3 linked regions of the Drosophila melanogaster genome follow. The protein of the gene in region 2 interacts with the protein of the main gene of each other region in a pairwise test. Each region holds a gene or a part of one and is shown on either strand. Other genes may lie near its edges. The genes, in order: CG32772, EMC2A and CG14153.

Region 1 (7,778 bases), on a different chromosome or scaffold from region 2:
GCAAATAAACTATATATACATATATGTATTATATAAAACTGATCGCTTGTGTCACTTCTGAAATATTTATATATATATATTCAAAATATATAACAAATTTCACCCATTCAGAAGAAATCTTTCGTTGTAATGAAAATTTGTCGGCTTGTTTTCGTTTCTTAATGTTGATTTTTTGTAATGGTTTATTAAAAAAAAAATAAAAACACTTAAGCTAATGCCTAACATAAATACATACCGAATTTAATCGAATTGTTTTTCACTTCTTGTTTTCGTTACTTTTCTCTATGCGTAATTACTATCAATTGTAGGTAATTTGTATTTGCTTTCTGTTTTTTTTTTTTTTTTGTTTTTTCAACATTATATTTTCCGTTTCGCTGCGCCTTTGCATTACAATAAAATTTTAATTCGATTTAAGTTTTACAGATTTCTCAACCCGATCTCATGTTTATATAATATAATGTATATATAGATGTGGGTGTTATGTGCATAATTTTATAAGTCAGTTGTGTTTTTGTCTGTCCATCTGGTGCTGCTGCTTTTTCTCCTTATCTCTTTCGATGTCATGCATTGCTGCTAATATTCTTGGAAATTTATTCAGGGGCATTTGGTTCCTCTATTGCTTTGGCTGCTGAATTCAAAACAGGAAGTGGGAGACAGACACCAAACTGAACCAGCAGCTTGCCGCCGACTCTAAATTCGGGATGTTTTGGAAGTCCACTCGCCGATTTCAAGATAATTAAGTGGATTCTGATACCCAAAAAGTTGATGCTGAACTCAATGCGAGAGTAGGACAAGTGCATCTCAGAAAAACTAAAAGCTAGCTTTAATCGATGAACTCGACTAACTCCCCCATTCCATTCTGATTCAGAATTCAAGGACGAAAACGCTTCCTACTGCCTGTTCCATACCTTTTTTTCACCAATCCAGCATACGCTTAACTCCACGGGTAACGCATATAAAGAATGATTTCTACATCAACTTCAGACACCCAAAAGTATTTAGAGATCTGCAGAGACTCCAAAACATCCGCGCCATATATCTAACATATTTTACGTGTGTATGTGCTGAATGTGATGCTACTTTGGCTATGGCTATGCTAATCAGGGACTTTAGCAGCTGATCGTTCGGGGCTTAAGCTAAAAGAGACCTTCTTTCCATTCTTAACTAGCCTACTTAGTGGGTATGAAACGCGCCTTGACCGCCTGTCCCATCGGCAAGTGCAGCAGTTGCTGCTGCTGCGCCGCCTGCTGCTGTTGTTGCGCCGCCTGCTGCTGCTGTTGTTGTGCCGCCTGCTGCTGCGCCTGCTGCTGTGCCGCCTGCTGCTGCATGTGCTGATTGATCTGCTGCTGGATGGACAGGCCGCTGACATTGCTGATATGCTGGCTGTGGAGCGATTCGTTGATCTCGATCTTGATGGCCGTGGCGGCCAGCGTTGTCGCCTTGTTCTTGTTCTTCGGCGGACGCCCACCTGGATATGCAACGAAAGGCGTAGTGAGATTCAAAGTGAATGAGTGAATGGTGAGCACTTACGTTGCCCTGTCGTGTGCTGCAGTGACAACGGCTGGCCGATCATCGCCAGCGGCTGTTGCGACGTCTGCAGCGTGCCCGCCTTCTTGGATCGCTTCGGAGGCGGCAGCTCGTGGTGGGCGTGATTGGTGAGCAGGTGCTTGGAGAGGTGCTGGCGCACCGCAAAGGACTCGGCACAATTGGCCACCGGACAGGAGAGGTAGCGACCCTCGACATGGCGCTGCACGTGCTTCTTCAGCAGCGACTCCTGATTGAAGCTACTCGGGCAGATGTCGCACTTGAACTTGAACTCGTCGTGCATCTTGAGGTGCTGGTCGAGATGGGCCTGCTGCAGGAACTTCTCGTCGCACTTGTCGCACTCGTACGGAAAGGCCAGGCCGTGGGTCTTCATGTGCGTATGCAGCTGCGACTGCAGTTTGAAGTTCTTCTCCGGACAACGCGGACAGTAGTAGCCGGTGACCCCAGCGTGCGCCTGCAGGTGCTGGTTCAGCGAGGTCACCTGCGTGAACTTCTTGTTGCACACGTTGCAGCAGTACTGCTGCACCTTGTGGTGCGACTTCATATGGTTGTTCAGGTTCGTCACCTGCAATGCGAGAACATATCGAGCCGTTATTATCATAAATCCTCTGCAATTTATCAATTTATCTTGGAACTGACCTGGGCGAAGCTGCGACCGCACTCCGGTTCATTGCAAACGAAGGGCCGTTCGCCGGTGTGCAGCCGGCGGTGATTGTTCAAATTGGTGATCTGCGTGAAGGTCTTGCCACAGTCCACGCACTGATATGGCCGATCGTTCGTGTGGATGCGTTCGTGGTTCCGCAAGTTGGCCGCCTGCGTGAAGCCTGAAAATCCAAGAGGTACATCGATTGTTAAGAACCAGATGATGTGTGCGAACGGCATATGGGACTCACCTTTGTGGCAGTAGGTGCACACAAACTTACGCTCCGCCGAGTGATTTCGTATGTGCGTCATGAGCGAGGATTTGCGCGAGAAAGTTTTGTTGCATAGCGGGCAGGAGCCCTCCTCGTTGAATATCAGATCCACCTTAAAGAAACAAATCGAACATTAGTTGCAAAGGGCTTGCCTTCTACCGCGGGTTACCTTCCATCAGAAAGGCATTATATATGATATGCCATTTTACTTTAATACAACCTACTATAAATTTATGCGAAAAACCTTTTTTCTAAGCTGTACATTATATATGCATATAGTTCTAACGAATAAGTAGCCAAGTGCACATCACTGTGTCACTATCGCCCTCCCACTCCCACTCACGCTCAACAAGCTGGCGGCCAAAAGAACGGATTGCAAATTCCCGTGCGAATTCAGTTTGTTTATTGGGGAATCACTTGAGTTACATTTAATATTTTTCACGAGCTTTTTTTTTATTATAATTATTTTATTTATTTTTCTGCGTGCCACGCACACCCACACACCAAAAGCGCCAACTGAAAATGAATTTTTTCCGCTTTACACAGCGCACAAAAACGCCGAGCTGCGTCGACTTCGACGTCGACGTCGACAGAGCAGATATTAATGGAAAAAGAAGCACAAAATATATGTGTATATACATATATCTATATATATATATATATATACATATAAATATAAAGGAAAACAAGAAAATGAGCAGTGCGAAATGTAGCAAGTGGAATAGAAAATACTCTCACGCTCAACACTTTTCTAACCCGTTTGTAATGCATATCTGTAGGGCCTACCGTTTTTAATCTTCTATAAGAACTTTCCAACACTACCACGTCGACTGTGTGATGGAATGAGACTGTACTGAAGTTTTTTTTTTGAAATTTATGTAAATAGCAGCAATAGTAAATAGTATCTAAACATGTCTGCAATAGAGCATTCCCAAGTCGTCGCAAGGCAATTTTACATTTATTTATACATTTTTTTTTTTTGCAATTCTCTGTTGCATGATGGAAAAAGAAAGGCAACAAGAACATGCAAAGAAACGGCGAAATAAGAAGTGAAGAAGAAAAGCAGCGGCTATGAATGTGCAGTGTGTCCGTGTGCATTTATGTATATGTATATGTAAGACTTTTGTGAGCGGGGGAGTAGTAGTGAAATGTAAGAAAATGAAGAGAAAATAGCACAACAATAATAAACAAGTGCAGCAAAAGGAGCAGGAGTCGAACTCCCTGGGAAGTAAAGCACTCTTCTGAAAACGGTTGATGGGGGTCTTCAAACCCCTATAATTCCAAATGCAATGCATCTACTGAGGATTGCAGTGAACTCTGTAATTAGGTTTAAATTGTCAATTTTTTTGAATCATTTATAGTTTGATGGGCAATTGCATTGATTGGATTCCTAAACCATAGAACACTTTTCGTGGACTATTAAACATTAGGATTAAATTTTAAATTTATTCATAGATATTAATATACATATTCAAGACGTTCATATTTTAGTTGAAAATAAGAACGACCTTCAGTTATTTACTTTATTTATCTCCTTTAGTAAGCCCTTTGCAGCACTGTATTCGCTGCCACTTCTTGCCATGCCTCTCGTAACACTACACGTAGTGCAACCCACTCACTATGCCCTTTGCAACACTCTCCCTGCCTTGGTATCCCAATCCCTGAAATGGACTTACGTCTTCGGAGTCGTCCTGCGACTGTAGGTTCTCGGAAGAACTGGATGATTGCATTTGCTGCTGTTGTTGTTGTTGCTGTTGCGAGTTCTGATGCTGCTGCTGCTGCGGATTCTGATGCTGCTGCTGCTGCGCGATGGCGTCGCTGTCGCTGGAGGAGGCCGTCGACGAGGAGGTGGCCGCCGCTGCTGCAGAGGCGGCAACTGCGGCCGAGGCAGAGGCAGCGACGGCTGCAGCGGCCGCCGCCGACTGATGGAAGTTGGAATTATTTGTCAACTGCTCCGAGCAGCGGACGCACGTGGGTATGCTATAGCCGGGCACCTGGAACAACTGTAGGGCGGGGGAATAGAATAGAACAGAACAGGACACGTGAATTAGAGAGTGCTTCCAATTGGAAAAAAAAAACCAATAATGCTCTTTATTTATTGTGGCAACTCAATCTTATTCCACACATACCCTCCCCCTTCCATGCCAACTAGCCCTTTCTCTTTTCCACCAACTAGAAATAAGAGCCAAGAAGATAAACACACGCACACACACAGGCACGCACACATGGAGAGCGAAAAAGAAAGAAAAGAAACTACAATAACAACAGCACCAGCAGCTCGTTGCTTTGTTGTTGTTGTTTTCATTTCATGTTATTTTTTTTCTTCGGTACAACGTTTTGTTATTCTTTCGCTTTTTGTTTTGCTTTGCCGCCGCTCTGCCAGCGGCGGCGGCAGAGGCGTCGCCTACAAAAAAGGGGTTATTTGGTAATTGTTTAAATAATGAACTAAAAACCAAGCAAAGTTAGATCTGTTTTGTTAGTTTTATAACCGCTTAACTTTAAATTTTTGGGCTTAGATGCCCAATATAGTAAACCCTCTGTCACTAAATTAACGCGCAGCCACTGCGTATTTGGCTGCCTTGGCGCAATTTCTGTCATTTTGTTTTAATATGTATTTCTTTTTGTGCGGTTCATGGGCGGCGGGAGGGGGCTGAAAGAGGGGGGCCTGTTCGGGGGAATAGGTTGAAAAGGAGTCAAAGTGAAAAGCGAGTGGCGAGCGTAAGCAAAATGTAAAAATAATATTTTTTCAAGTTGTCGGCTTGAACAACTTTTCGGGCTGAGTTGGCTAAAAATAAAAATTGTTCAGCAATAGTTTGGGGTCGCATGTGTATGTGTATTTCTTATTTCTGTGTGTGTGCGTTTGTATGTGTGTGGGGAAAGGGGGGCAATGCGCGCGCTTTTGAACCCCGCCCCCTGCGCCAACAACCCGCCCGCACAATAACAGTAGCGCGAATTCAATTGTTTAAACTCCACCAAAAGAAAAAAAATCAATAGAAATAACAAAGTGTATATACCTAAATCACATGTGTGTATATCTTTTTTTTTTTGTTAACATACCGTTGCCGTTTGGAAGCACAATCTACAGATGGTGTCCATTATAACAGTAAATAAGGAATAGGATGGGGAGCAGGAGAAGGAGGATGCACTTTGTTGCTGACTTTTGCCCCCTCTGCGGTCGTTGTTGTTGTTGTTGTCGTCCTTCTCCCTCGCAATTTACCGCTATCTTTACCGGTTAACATTCAGCGCCGTTTTTCTTTTTCGTTTATTATTATTTAGTTCGTTTTTTTTCTATCTTTTTCCTTTTCCTTCCTACTATAAGTTTGTGAACACGATCCAAACGATGTGTGGTTGTATTTGAAACTAACTTTTTGGAGTTTGGTTTGCGTTTGGATTTCGGTGATCGCTATATGGCATATTATGATGGCAAAAACAAAAAAAAAACTATATAAATGATATAGAAATTTGATTTATACGATATTTTCGTGGTACACACACACACGCGCGTTGTTTATGTTTGCCTTGCACTTGCACATACAAGCAAAAATGCGGCGCTGTTGTTGTTGCTGCTTCGAAGTTCTGCTTCTTTTTTTTGCTTAATTCCTTTGCCCTTTTTTTGGCGTAGTTACACGTGAAAAAAAAAACAAACCAGCGCGTTCGAATGCGTTTTTTTTTTGTATTTTACAATTCACGACGAAGTTTTTGTCCGTCGTCTTTTTTCCCTTTTTTTTGGGGCCCGATGTTATTGTTGCGCTGTATGCGTGAGCCGTGTGTGTGTATGTGTGGGGAAAAAACGAATACGATAAGAATACGCGGTATAGTTGTGCTGCTCTAACCCACAGGTTGGCTTGGCCGGTGCTCCTTGGCCTGGCCTATCGATATTTCTATCGATTTCCGTAATCGAAAACGAGGCGGGTAATGGAATCGTTGTTGAAAACAAGTTTTTTAATTTATTATTTATTTAATATTTAATTGCAAGTCCGAAAGATTTATTTTATCATAGGTTATTTTATTTAAATAATTGATGGTGTTTTTTAGGCAGCCATAGAATCATGAACTTTATTTTACAACAGAATAAATATAAAATCATTTTACAGAACAAAGTGAAACAAACATAATACAAAACTTTCACAATAATTAAACAAACTATGCTAAACGATGGGTACAAATAATAAACACTTTAAATTGGATACTTTTCACAATATTAAATCTACTGTGTAATCTAATAATAAAATGAAATGGACCTTTTTTTAAATACAGTAGACAAATGTCCAGAAAAACAGATTAAAGACGAGAAAGGAGAGCGGAAAAACGAATCTGGCTCGACTATCAATCCACATGGCTATTTCCTGGGGCGTTAGCGTGGTCCAGCCACTCAGATCGATCTCCTCCTGGTGCCCCGCGCTCTCCGTTCGGTTATTGTTGGTCAAAGTTTGGCTGCTGCTGGCAGCACTGATCGCTCCAGTGGACTGGGCAGAGCCCATGGATCCAAAGGCACTCTCCACAAAGTTAACATCCATCTTCTGGACGACGCGGCTGGTCCTCTGCTGATCCAGAACTTGGCCCTCCTTAATCGTGGTGATGGGCAAATTGACGGTTAGGTAATTGTTGAAACCGGCACCGCCCAGCGAGCCGGTATCCGCTGTCTTATGCAGAGCCGTGCCCGAAAAGGATCTGGATCTGGCGTGACTGCGTCGTCTGAGCAGATTCGGCGATAGAGTTGACTTCAGGATGTGTTTGCTGTTCAGTTTCTTGACGGGCACACTCTTCTTACGACGCCAAATCGTGTTAACAAAGGCGAACTCCACCATGCTGCCAAATATGAAGATGGTGCAGCCCAGGAACCACACCTCTGACACCTTGATGTAGCTAACCTTTGGCAGAGTCTTTCCCTGTGCCGAGGCCAGGGTAATGAATGTCAGCAGGGTGCTGGTGCCCAGCGTGATGCGCGGCGGCGCCTGATCTGCTTGCAGCCAGAACGATACCCAGGATATGGCCACAATCAGCATGGAGGGTAGAAAGTAGTCCATCAGGTAAAAGCCAACCACTCGCGTCAGGTGAACGGTGAAGCTGAGGGAGCTGTAGTTGCCGGCAAAGGCTCCATGACGCAGGTCACTCAAATCGGCATTGATTACCGTCTCGTTTGACCAGGAACGCTGCAGCACAAACTCGGTGAGATGCAGTGCCCCATCGTAGGTTATCGGACGCTTCTGCTCCCAGTGGAGGACCAGTTCCGACGTATTGTACATCCAACTCTCCAGCACCGTCGAGCAGTGCTGCTCATCGAATGGGAACTTCTTAAGGTTGAGCCAGCAATAGAGT
Region 2 (5,560 bases):
CCGTATTCCTTTAGTGGCAACATTTCCATCAGCAGTTGTCCAAGTGAAGATGTATCATTTTCGGAAAGCATCCTAGAGGACAACGGACGCATTTCGCTGGCCTATGAGAACCTGAAGACAATTCCGCGGCGACTGGCCGACAAATTCGCAGCGCAGACCAAGTTTCTCGATTTGAGTCACAATGATTTCCGAAACTTGAGATTTCTCTCCTTTTTCGAGGATCTGGACACTTTAATCCTGGACCGCAACGTAAACCTGGACATAAACACTTTTCCTTATTTGCCGAGCTTAAGGATCTTGTGGTGATTACCCTGAATCTTGCATACATGGGTCCACGCAATAACACATATTCTATTCGTCTTGCAGGATCAACAATTGCGATATAGCAAATATAACCGATTGGATACACCGCATCGAACGGCACTGTCCTGCGCTGGATCAGCTCTCTTGCATGGGGAATCCTGGCATCCGCACAGTTTTCGGGGGCCAAGGACCCCGCGAGTATATACTACAGGTGCTTCCCCAGCTAAAATATCTCGATGGACTTCCAACCAGCAGGAATGCAGCTTATGCGACGCTGTCTTCCTCACAAGGACAGGGTCCGGACTCCACGAGCAATTCGGAAAAGCCTCCACTCGCATCCGCATTCACTTTCAAGGACATCATCCGTCCAAAGTATTCCAGAAAATCGCACAGCGGACGGATGTTTGGCAACGGCTCCTCCACAAACTGAAGTAATATGCCGAAGGAGGGAGGGGTATTCCACTGATTGCATTCTGTCCCATTGTTGGACTATTTTTAACCGTCCGCTGGATTATCAGCGCTGCCCTCGCTGCCCTGCAGTCGTCGATTGCACCTACAGTGCTATGCAAGTAAATATGCATATGGTTATTGCCATGTACGTATATAAATTTGCAATTGTATGACGATGGACACGCACAAACCTAGTGAGAATTAATCTAGTGCATTAAAGCAATTTTTACAATAATAAGAGTCAATGACCTCAGCGAATAGTCAAGTATACAATAGGCACCATCTTCAGAATAAATGTTCTTCGACTTATTCTGAATGTCGTTCAGTGCCCGATTAATTTTACGGATGTAAGCACATGGGCACGAGTTAATATTGCTTAAAACTTGAGGCCAAAGATTAAAAGTATGATTCAAAGCAGTTCATTGCGTTTAATCTAAATTTATTACAGGACTATTTTTGCCTACCTCAATAATAAATGTTTTAAATTATCCGGTTTCAATGCCGTCAACAATACTAGACCACCAAAAACAGTTGCTTGGATGCACTGACTATAAAATTGTTTTTACTCCTATTTCTTTAATTGTTTATCTATGTAACCTGCTTAAAGAACAGAAACTGGAAACCCACTTCTGAGAATATTTGGAACCATTACATTCTGGCATCTATTGCACAAATTATTAGTGCTTATATTGGTCAATTCGATTTAATTTCCAGGTTTCCAAAGGCAGCCTCCAAGGGTACAATCGTTTGTTTAGTCAAAAGTTGTTCGAGGGCCCATTGACTCAACTTTTGCAGCTCCTTCCGTTTGGAGCTCACAGCACGAGAGTTGTCCAAATGGTTGCAGCACAAGTAAATGCCATAAAGGGCCCTCAAGTTATGCGGATTAAGCTTCAGGGCCTGCGAATAGTAAGTGCGAGCCGATTCCATATTCTCGACGCCACCCTGAAAGAAAATTAATTCATAAGATGGACTTCATTACTGGTTAGTGGGCTTATATAGCTCACCATTGTGTATCGTATTTCTGCCAAACGCTGGTGTATTAGATGGCTATGCGGATTGTGCAGCAAAACCTCCTCCATGCAGAAGGCAGCTTTGCCAAACTCGCCTTCAGCCAGATACATGTTGCACAGCTCATGCCATGCCTCCTGGTCAGACATAAACCTGAAGGAATATTAAATAGTTATGAGATTATCGTACATGGTAAGATAAGTAGTTGTCTAGCAACCGGATGCCGGAAACTAATTTGGTTCCGTTCTTCCAAAAACACCATGAACTTAGCTTTCTTACTTCTTCAGATACTCGTTGAGCTCCTTGATGGCCTCCAGGCGACGACCACGGGCCTTAAGGATGGCAATCTTGCGCTTCCTGGGCGCGGCATTTGTCTCGTCCTTAGCAATGATTGCATCCAGGACCTCGTCGGCCTCATCGTACTGCTCCAGGGCCTCGTAGCGCATCGCTTTGAACTTCATCACGCGCAGGCTGCCCGGGAACTCGAGGGACAGCTGCTTGGTACACTTGGTGGCGATGTCAAAGCGAGCCGTATCCAATGCCGCGATGATCACCTGCTCCAGGATGAGATGCCGCTCGTTGCCGGTCTTGTGCACCTTGTCCTCTAGCACAGCAACCCACAGCTGGACCACCTCCTCGCTGTGGCGACCCGTCTCCTCGCGCCACGTTCTGAACTGATCCCGTACATCTGAAAGGATGATCATACGCTTATGATACGGCACTTTTCATTCATGGCAATTGGGAGCAACCCACTGACGTGGTCTGCACCTGTCTGGAGCCGGGAAAAGCCGAAAACTTACCCGACCAGCTCATCTTCTCATAATCTAGCGACATATTCACTTAGGCGGACTTAAATATCTCATCAATTTAATTTAATTTCCCAATTGTAATCATTAACTAGCGATTTCCTTCTTGGCAAAATAAAAGTGTGGCAGCGTAATGAGCCGTTAGATTATACCAAATAACACTAGCGTGGCGCTGCCAACCTGCTTTTTGAATATCGTAAAGTCTAGAAATGAAGTCAGAGGTAATTTTTTAAAACTTTTTATTATAAAGAGACTTCTAAAGTTAAGTTTTTCTACATATACCTTGTTTCCGATATTTGCAAAGTTAATTAAACTGTTAATACTTCTGAAATACTTGTAGGTCCTTGAAAAGGATTCTTTAATGAATTATTTTACCATGCATTAATCTTATTTTGTCCAAACTTTGTGCATTGCTTATCCATTTTAACAGATTTCTAAGTCAAGTGCACATTTGAAAAGCGCGCCAACGAAAACATGAAACATGATAGTTTTTCTTCCAGCGACGGTCACACTAACAAATCAAATAATTGTGGTACCGTCAACAAAAGCCAAGTCTCTCGTGCTCTCCGGGTATTAAAGCCGTGGAATCGGGCAGTGCCGCATGCGGTGCTGTGTTTAATTTCCCCAACTCCCAACAGATCCGGAAGCAGTTTGAACATGGGTCCGCCAAAGCAGCTGAAACGAACCTTTCTTGGCTTCGACTTGAGCACGCAAAAGGTGAGAACTGGAACTGCCTACGTAGTATCTTTGCATCTGAGATGTGGAGGCGTCTCCAAATCGACTACATCTGGGCCAATTGCGTGCGAATGGTGTTACTGGAAAAGGTCAAACGGTACTCGGGAACTTGAAACACGAACTACTCTTATCAGTTGCGGTGACCGGGGCTCGATTTTCGCTTATCTGCTAAAGACGCGAGCGCCAACCGATTTAACTATTATGGTTTGATTATTGAAATTCATGTTCGGAGGTATTGGCCCCCGACATTATCTTAATAGAGCCGCAATAACTTTCACAATCCCTGAATGACGCTGGCGGTGACTCCTAGTTGCCCTCTATGTTTGATCGTTATTTTCGAGGTGTGTCTCCATATCGCTAATTGCTGCCCCATTTACTCCTCTCAGCTCAAAGCCGTCCTGCTGGGCTCCAGTTTGGAGGTGGTTGCCGCGGCTGAAGTGAAATTCGACACCGACTTGCCGGAGTTCCGGACCACCGGTGGAGCCAACGCTGGATCCATCAAAAATGAGTGAGTCTGTTTCACCACTATCCATTACTCCAATTGAAGATTTTAATGGGATGATTGTTTGCGTAAAGCAAATAGGGGGATATATTTTACGTTTTTATATCTTGCGCTGTGGGGTATTTGTCCGATAATACTTAGGGCCCTATTTCATAGCAGTTGTTTTATTACACCACAATGGGTCTCTATCACTTCAAGTTTTTTTTAACCTTCCTATAACAGGGACCATATATACAATGGGTACTATAAAATATATATGTGCTAACCTGACTCCACCTTTACTTGTTCTTCTTTAGATACTTTGTACAACCAGTGATGTGGGTGAAGGCCATGGACATTGTCCTGGACCGACTGGTTATGCAGCAAGCGGATCTTAGCACCGTAGCTGCCATCAGTGGCTCCGGACAGCAGCACGGATCGCTCTACTGGTCCAAACATGGAATCAACACGCTGCAAAACCTCGATTCCGAGAAGTTCCTTCACGCACAAATCGACGACTCCGCCTTTGTGGTAAATCGTACTCCGATTTGGATGGACGCCACCACCACCAAACAGTGCCTAGAGATGGAGATGGCTGTTGGTGGCAAACTTAACATGGTGGAACTGACGGGCTCGAAGTGCTACGAACGTTTTACGGGTCCCCAAATTAGAAAGATATATCAGCAACGCTGCCACGCCTACGAAGAGGCCAACCGAATCTCATTGGTCAGCAGTTTTATATCATCGCTATTTCTGGGCTCCGTCGCTCCAATTGACTTCAGTGATGGTTCCGGCATGAATCTGCTGGACATCCGCAAGAAGAACTGGTCCAAAGAATGCCTAAATGTTTGTGCACCCGATTTGGACAAGCGCCTGGACATTCCGGTCAGTCCAAATTCGATTTTAGGCAACGTCTCTCCGTACTTTGTGGAGCGCTTTAGTTTTTCGCCCGATTGCAAAGTGGCTGCTAGCACGGGGGACAATCCTTCGGCGCTGTCTGGAATGTTGGTGGGCAGCAGCTGGCTTACCATTTCCATGGGCACAAGTGACACCCTAATGATGAGCTTGAAGGAGCCGCTAAACTGGGAGGAGGGTCATATACTCTGCCATCCAACTGAAACGGAAGAATTCATGGGCCTTCTATGGTAAATTATTCCTGGGACATTATATCTTAAAATTAGTTTATTTAAATGTCTTTTTCAGTTTTAGAAATGCTTCATTGGTCCGTGAGGAAATGAACAAGAAGACAACCGGCGGCGATTGGGATAAATTCAATGAGTATCTCGACTCCACGCCCCGTGGAAACTTTGGGAACATGGCCGTGCACTTTAACGACATGGAAATCATTCCCAAGGCGCAGGGTATTCTGCGATGGAACAGGGAAATGGATCCCAGTTCCCCGGACGCGGCTAGGGGTGTAATCAAGTAAGTCTGATTGAAAATTTAGCTGTTTTAGGTCCGACATGAAAGCAATGACTCATAATCAGTTAACAGACATCTGTAAATAGTTATTTTTAGAAATGACTTTTTACCAACATGATCATGTTTTTTGTCGTTTATACTTTTTCTTAATGCCTATTTCCCTTCTACTGAATTCTTTAAAATGTATAAAATATTCCTGACCTCTTTCGCTTTATAGATTCAGCTCGCCCCAAATCGAAATTCGAGCCCTAGTTGAAGGTCAGATGCTGCATCACCGGGCTGTGGCTGAAGACCTTGGCTACAAATTCGGACCCGAGACACAAATCCTTGTCACAGGAGGCGCATCTGTTAACAA
Region 3 (4,951 bases), on a different chromosome or scaffold from region 2:
TGAATGGCTGACTGACTGATTGGCTGACTGACTGGTTGGCTGAATGGCCAAGACGAGCGCGTGCTGCGGCCCATTGATGAAAAATCTTTCGGGCCACTCGTGCACATTCGTTGGGGGGCCACAGTGGAGCATCGCTGGCACTTACGCGCACGCAAGCCAAATGGCCCACGACAAACGACCGATGGCCGGATGAAGATGTAAAGTGTATTATGTCGGCTTCGGTGGCCTGACAGTGCGGGTCATTAAAGTAGAATATCTCACTTATATAAGAAAATTATAAAAATGTATGTACAAGACGGAAAAATTAGATTGAGAAAGATTTACAAGGGTACAATTCAAAAAGTAAACAAGAGGTTATTTATGAGAGCTAACAAATGTTTATTAAGTGCGTGTGTAAAAACTATACAGCGTTTTTTTTTTTTGTGATTATTATAAAAGGAACGTTGTTCAGTATTTTTTCATTTTCCTAATTTTATTTTAAATTACCTTTTCCGTTCTTGTTTGATTATATATTACTCATTGCAACTAACGCACAATAACCACACTATTTTCCTAGCATAAACTCTTTAAAAAATGCCCACAAAATCAATAGGTTTTTAATGAAATTCAAACACTCAATTATGTTGGCTAACCTGAAGTGTTTGGCCATAACAAAGGCCTGTGAACTATGCAAACACAAACGTATCCCCGCACTGGGTTAAAACACATTACACAGAGCCACATCAGTTTCTGCGGCAGTTGGAGGATATGCCGGTTGATTGTCTGGAGTCAAATAAAATCGATTTGTTTAATGGCAAATCCCTGTGAATGGCGCATTTCCCATGGTTCGCTTCCGTTTGGCGAAACTTTCATTCAAATCGATTGTGGAGCACTATATGTATAGCTGAAAGCTGGGATCTAGGACAATCGGGTAAATAATGGTGGAGGTAGGGAATGGCGAAGTCATCGCCATCGTCGGTTTCTAGTCTCTGATGTCTAGTGTGTCTGCAACTTTGTGCTCCCGACGATAATGGTAATGATAATGGCGATGATGATGATGATGATGTTAAACGCTGCAAACTGCACGTTCATTGTGTGCTCAAAGTGTCAGCCGCCGGGCGCTCACAGATTTTCCCGTGTAAAAAGTTGCATATATGTATACACCGATATATATATATGTATGTATGTACATACTATATAGCCCAAACGTGCTTCCCAACTAACTGCCACTTCCGTTTCTCGAAGAGGAGGAGCATTGTTTCTGCGCCTTTGTTGCCACCAGTTTTCAGTGCGCCCCAAAGTATGCTGTACAATTTATTGACTTTGCTTGTAACTTGCTTCGTTTTAATGTCGCGTTTATTGCGAAAAATCTTGGGGCATCGAGAAGGCACTTGTATAGAGTACAATAAACTTGGCTTTAGTGCTCCTTTATGTAAGTTAACCACTGATATTCAAAGTTCAACGCATGCCACAGAATACAAAGAACATGCTTCAAAAAATGGGTATTTCCCTTTTAGTGAAGTTTTTTAAATTAATTAAAATCTTCTGAAAATAACTTTTATTGTTGTGTATCTCTTACGGAACTAACTAAGCATAGTTTTGTTACATACAATTATTATTATTCTTGCCTTTTAAAGGGATAAACCAATATTTACTGTGTTGGCATGTTGACTCTACAGCAGCTGCAATCTGTATCTTTATCGGATGCAATTGATCTGTTCCGAGTACAGACAGAAATAGTTTTCTTGGCACGCTTTCAACGAAAATTGCTAATGGCTCTTGAGGGGATTTATTCAATATGTTTTTTGATGCAAAGTCAAATGCAGAGTATTCCCCTACTTTTCAACAAAATCCTCGTTGGTGTTGTAAACTGGCTGCAGGCGTCTTGGATATTTACGCAAATATTCGGCAAAATGTTGGGCATATTTGGCCTGGTAATCACGACGCCTCCAGGGCTGAGCGGGTTCATAGAAATTCTCCTTATTATTGTACGTATTTAGATAGTTATTTGTGGCCAATGAGCGACTGCCGCCAATTTGGACCACTTGCTCCTCATCGCGACCCGAATCGCTGGTCTCCAATTCCGGATTCCTTTGTGGATATGGCTGAAGTTGAGGTGGAATTTGAGATTGAGGATAGCGCAGAGGTGTTGATGGCGTAGTCTCCTGTTGTTGATAGTAAAAGTAGCCGGGCACATTGTTATAGTTGTGATTGGGAGCATGTGTTGGGTCTTCCCTTCTCCAATTTGGATATGCTTGTCTATACGCAGGTTCCGCAACATAATAACCATTACTTTTTGGATACTGCTGCTGTTCCTGGGCACTGTACTGATTATCATTCACTATGATAGGCGGACCCGACCATATCGATTGTACATCTGGATTGGCATAGTTGGATTGAGCGTAGTTGGATGTGGTAATTGCATAAGCACTGCCATAAGGTGATGCATACTGAGCTCTCCCACAAACTGCATCGATCATCAGGGGCATAAGTGCACATAGCTTGGAATAATCATTAATAGATTAATCATCTCGGGTGTCCGAATGGAAATCTAGTGAAACACTCACCCAGCTCGACGAGCTGCTCTTCACGATCCGTCCTGTTTGCGGCTTCATTTCTGACTGTTCAGAACGATTTATGCTAATAACGTATTTATATGAGGTTTCACAACAGTCTCTCTGGAAAGCCATATAGTATATATAGTATAGTAATGTATAGTAGTGCATGATGTTCGTTTGCAGCAGCGCCTCTGTCAAGGTGATTGGATGAGCAAACCCCACTTTACCTGACTCAAAAATTTAGCAGGCGGCATTTCTGTAATGTTTGTATTTTTTCTCACGCACGTTTTTTTGCAGCCCTGACAGCTTAAGTGCGGCATCGTTGTTTTGGGCCTGGCCCGTAGTGGAAAACCATTTGGAAGCATTGGCAACACGGGCGGCAGGCAAATTGCGGTGTCACGTACCGCGTAATTAGTAATTAGATTTTCAAGTCAACTGTAATTAGAGGTTAACAAGAGCGAGTGTTGAAAGCAACCGATAGTTGCATACCTTATGATCTTGTTGATAAAGCTGCTTGCTAGAAGAAAAACTTACAAGTCCGTTTCCCTACATATGTATCTTATCTAAAAATATGACTGAACTTCAAAATTAGAAACAATTCGAGCTTGCTTTATTATAGTAAAGGGTATCAACGTTTTCTTACTAACATTTTGTATAAAAAATACAAATTGAAGACTTATGTTTGAAATTTAGCTGGCGTTACTTTAAAATCCAATTCACTTCTACAAATTTGGTTGCATGTAATAGATAAAGAATGCCCCATCACGTGGCACTGGAAGCTTTCTCAGGAACTCGCCACCATCGTATGAATCGCTAAATAATTGGGTTAGATTGGCGTTGGGTTCCATCTGCTTGGAAATGGGCATTCCGTGGCACGTACTATCGCGCGTTAAGAACTAGAAAAAAGAATACAAAATAATTAGATTTCAGTGAAAAGAAAAAATTGTCTAAATATGACTATAGCTTAATATTTCAAGAACGACTTGCTTTAAACGCACCATCATCTCCCTTATGGTTGTCAAATTTTGTGGTGGCGGAGGATGATTGAATGGCTCCTTATTGAATATGTTATCGCCACAGCACTTGAGCAGATGGGATGTTATTATGTTCCTAGATCTGGCCTCGTCTGCATTTTGTGGTGGTTGGCGCAGCTTGTCCATCCACATGGTGGCCATCGTTTTGGAGCGAAAGTCCAGCTGGCAAATGCTTTGCTCCAACTTCTGAATATCCTGCTCGAATTCCTCGTCGAATTTGGTGATTTCTGGATTTACCCTTTTGGAGGAAGTGGATGGCTCCTTCCTCAGATGTTCACGCTGCAATTCCTTTTCACGCTGACGTTCCTTCTCCAGTTCCTTGCGCCACTCCTGCTGATGCTGCTTTTTCTCTCGTTCCTTTTCCCTCGCGAGTTCCTTTCGCCGCTCCAGTTCCCGCTTGCGTTCCATTTCCTCCTCCCTCCTGCGCTCCTTGCGATCCTCCTTGCGCTCGGGACTCGGATTCTTTTCGGGCTTCTGCGATTCGGAATCCTCCACGACGAAGGTCTTCTGTCTGTTTCTGCGAGCGGTGCGAATCAACATCCCAAAAGTTGATTAGAAAACTAACTAAATAATTTTCAATTTACCCTTTCATGTCTCGTTTGTAAATATTTTTGAATATGTTCCTAAATCCCGTACTGTTTTGCTTGCTCATTTTGACGGATGTTTCGAAATGATGCCAGATAATATTTCATTGCTAGGCATATTGCATACCTAAAATCATGTTCAAAGTGATAAACTTATTAAGTTGTATTGTATATTTCTATTTTTCAGATGAAAACCCCCGCCATACAGAATGATTTTAGCTACTACAGACGCATCGTCAGCCGACAGCGTGTGGATTCCACGGAGAATATGCTGGTCAGCACGGAACTGGCCAACCGGATGTCCCTGTTCTACGCCCACGCCACGCCCATGCTCAAGGTGCTGAGCGAGGCGACCTCAAAGTTTGTCAATGACAATGCCGATGATGTCCAGAACACGACGGAAACGCTGGGCACCATGGCCAAGGTGTGCCTGAGGATGCTGGAAAATCCGTGAGTTTAAATGAATCACTATCAATGATAATAAGTATTCTAATCGATGGACAATATTGCTTTTAGAAAACTCCTGCAACAGATCGAGCGTGAGGACACGAAAATGCTGGTGCTGCGCGTAATGGTCGGCCTGGTGATCCTCTACGACCATGTGCATCCGGAGGGAGCCTTCGTGCGTGGCGCCCATGTGGATGTGAAGGGGTGCGTCCGACTGCTGCAGGCGCAACCGGCCATCAAGGCGGAGCCGCTGCTGAATGCCCTGCGATACACGACGAAGCATTTGAATGGGGAGAACACGCCGAAGAATATACAGCGTTTGTTGGCCGCATAATATTGGAGGGGATCG

What was found.
Region 1: the proteins of EMC2A (region 2) and CG32772 interact in a two-hybrid assay, tested with the Drosophila melanogaster proteins (one large-scale study listed by BioGRID).
Region 3: the proteins of EMC2A (region 2) and CG14153 interact in a two-hybrid assay, tested with the Drosophila melanogaster proteins (one large-scale study listed by BioGRID).

The regions. Positions count from the first base shown.
Region 1 is NC_004354.4:4,907,536-4,915,313, reverse strand, and holds CG32772 (uncharacterized protein), read right to left. Parts: upstream 6,213-7,778; 5' UTR 5,995-6,212; exon of another isoform or gene 5,863-5,994; 5' UTR 5,556-5,862; coding exon 5,517-5,555; intron 4,463-5,516; coding exon 4,136-4,462; intron 2,934-4,135; exon of another isoform or gene 2,803-2,933; intron 2,572-2,802; coding exon 2,439-2,571; intron 2,370-2,438; coding exon 2,185-2,369; intron 2,111-2,184; coding exon 1,531-2,110; intron 1,469-1,530; coding exon 1,170-1,468; 3' UTR 153-1,169; downstream 1-152. Other genes in the region: CG6927 (uncharacterized protein), read right to left, coding at 6,707-7,778.
Region 2 is NT_033777.3:16,993,365-16,998,924, forward strand, and holds EMC2A (ER membrane protein complex subunit 2A), read right to left. Parts: upstream 2,708-5,560; 5' UTR 2,596-2,707; coding exon 2,562-2,595; intron 2,450-2,561; coding exon 2,041-2,449; intron 1,915-2,040; coding exon 1,758-1,914; intron 1,696-1,757; coding exon 1,447-1,695; 3' UTR 1,178-1,446; downstream 1-1,177. Other genes in the region: CG31274 (uncharacterized protein), read left to right, coding at 1-302, 367-733; CG3534 (uncharacterized protein), read left to right, coding at 3,225-3,284, 3,689-3,810, 4,101-4,928, 4,987-5,208, 5,423-5,560.
Region 3 is NT_037436.4:10,641,186-10,646,136, reverse strand, and holds CG14153 (uncharacterized protein), read right to left. Parts: upstream 2,610-4,951; 5' UTR 2,595-2,609; coding exon 2,547-2,594; intron 2,481-2,546; coding exon 1,815-2,480; 3' UTR 1,522-1,814; downstream 1-1,521. Other genes in the region: CG14154 (uncharacterized protein), read right to left, coding at 3,260-3,433, 3,536-4,111; CG32066 (uncharacterized protein), read left to right, coding at 4,343-4,605, 4,672-4,936.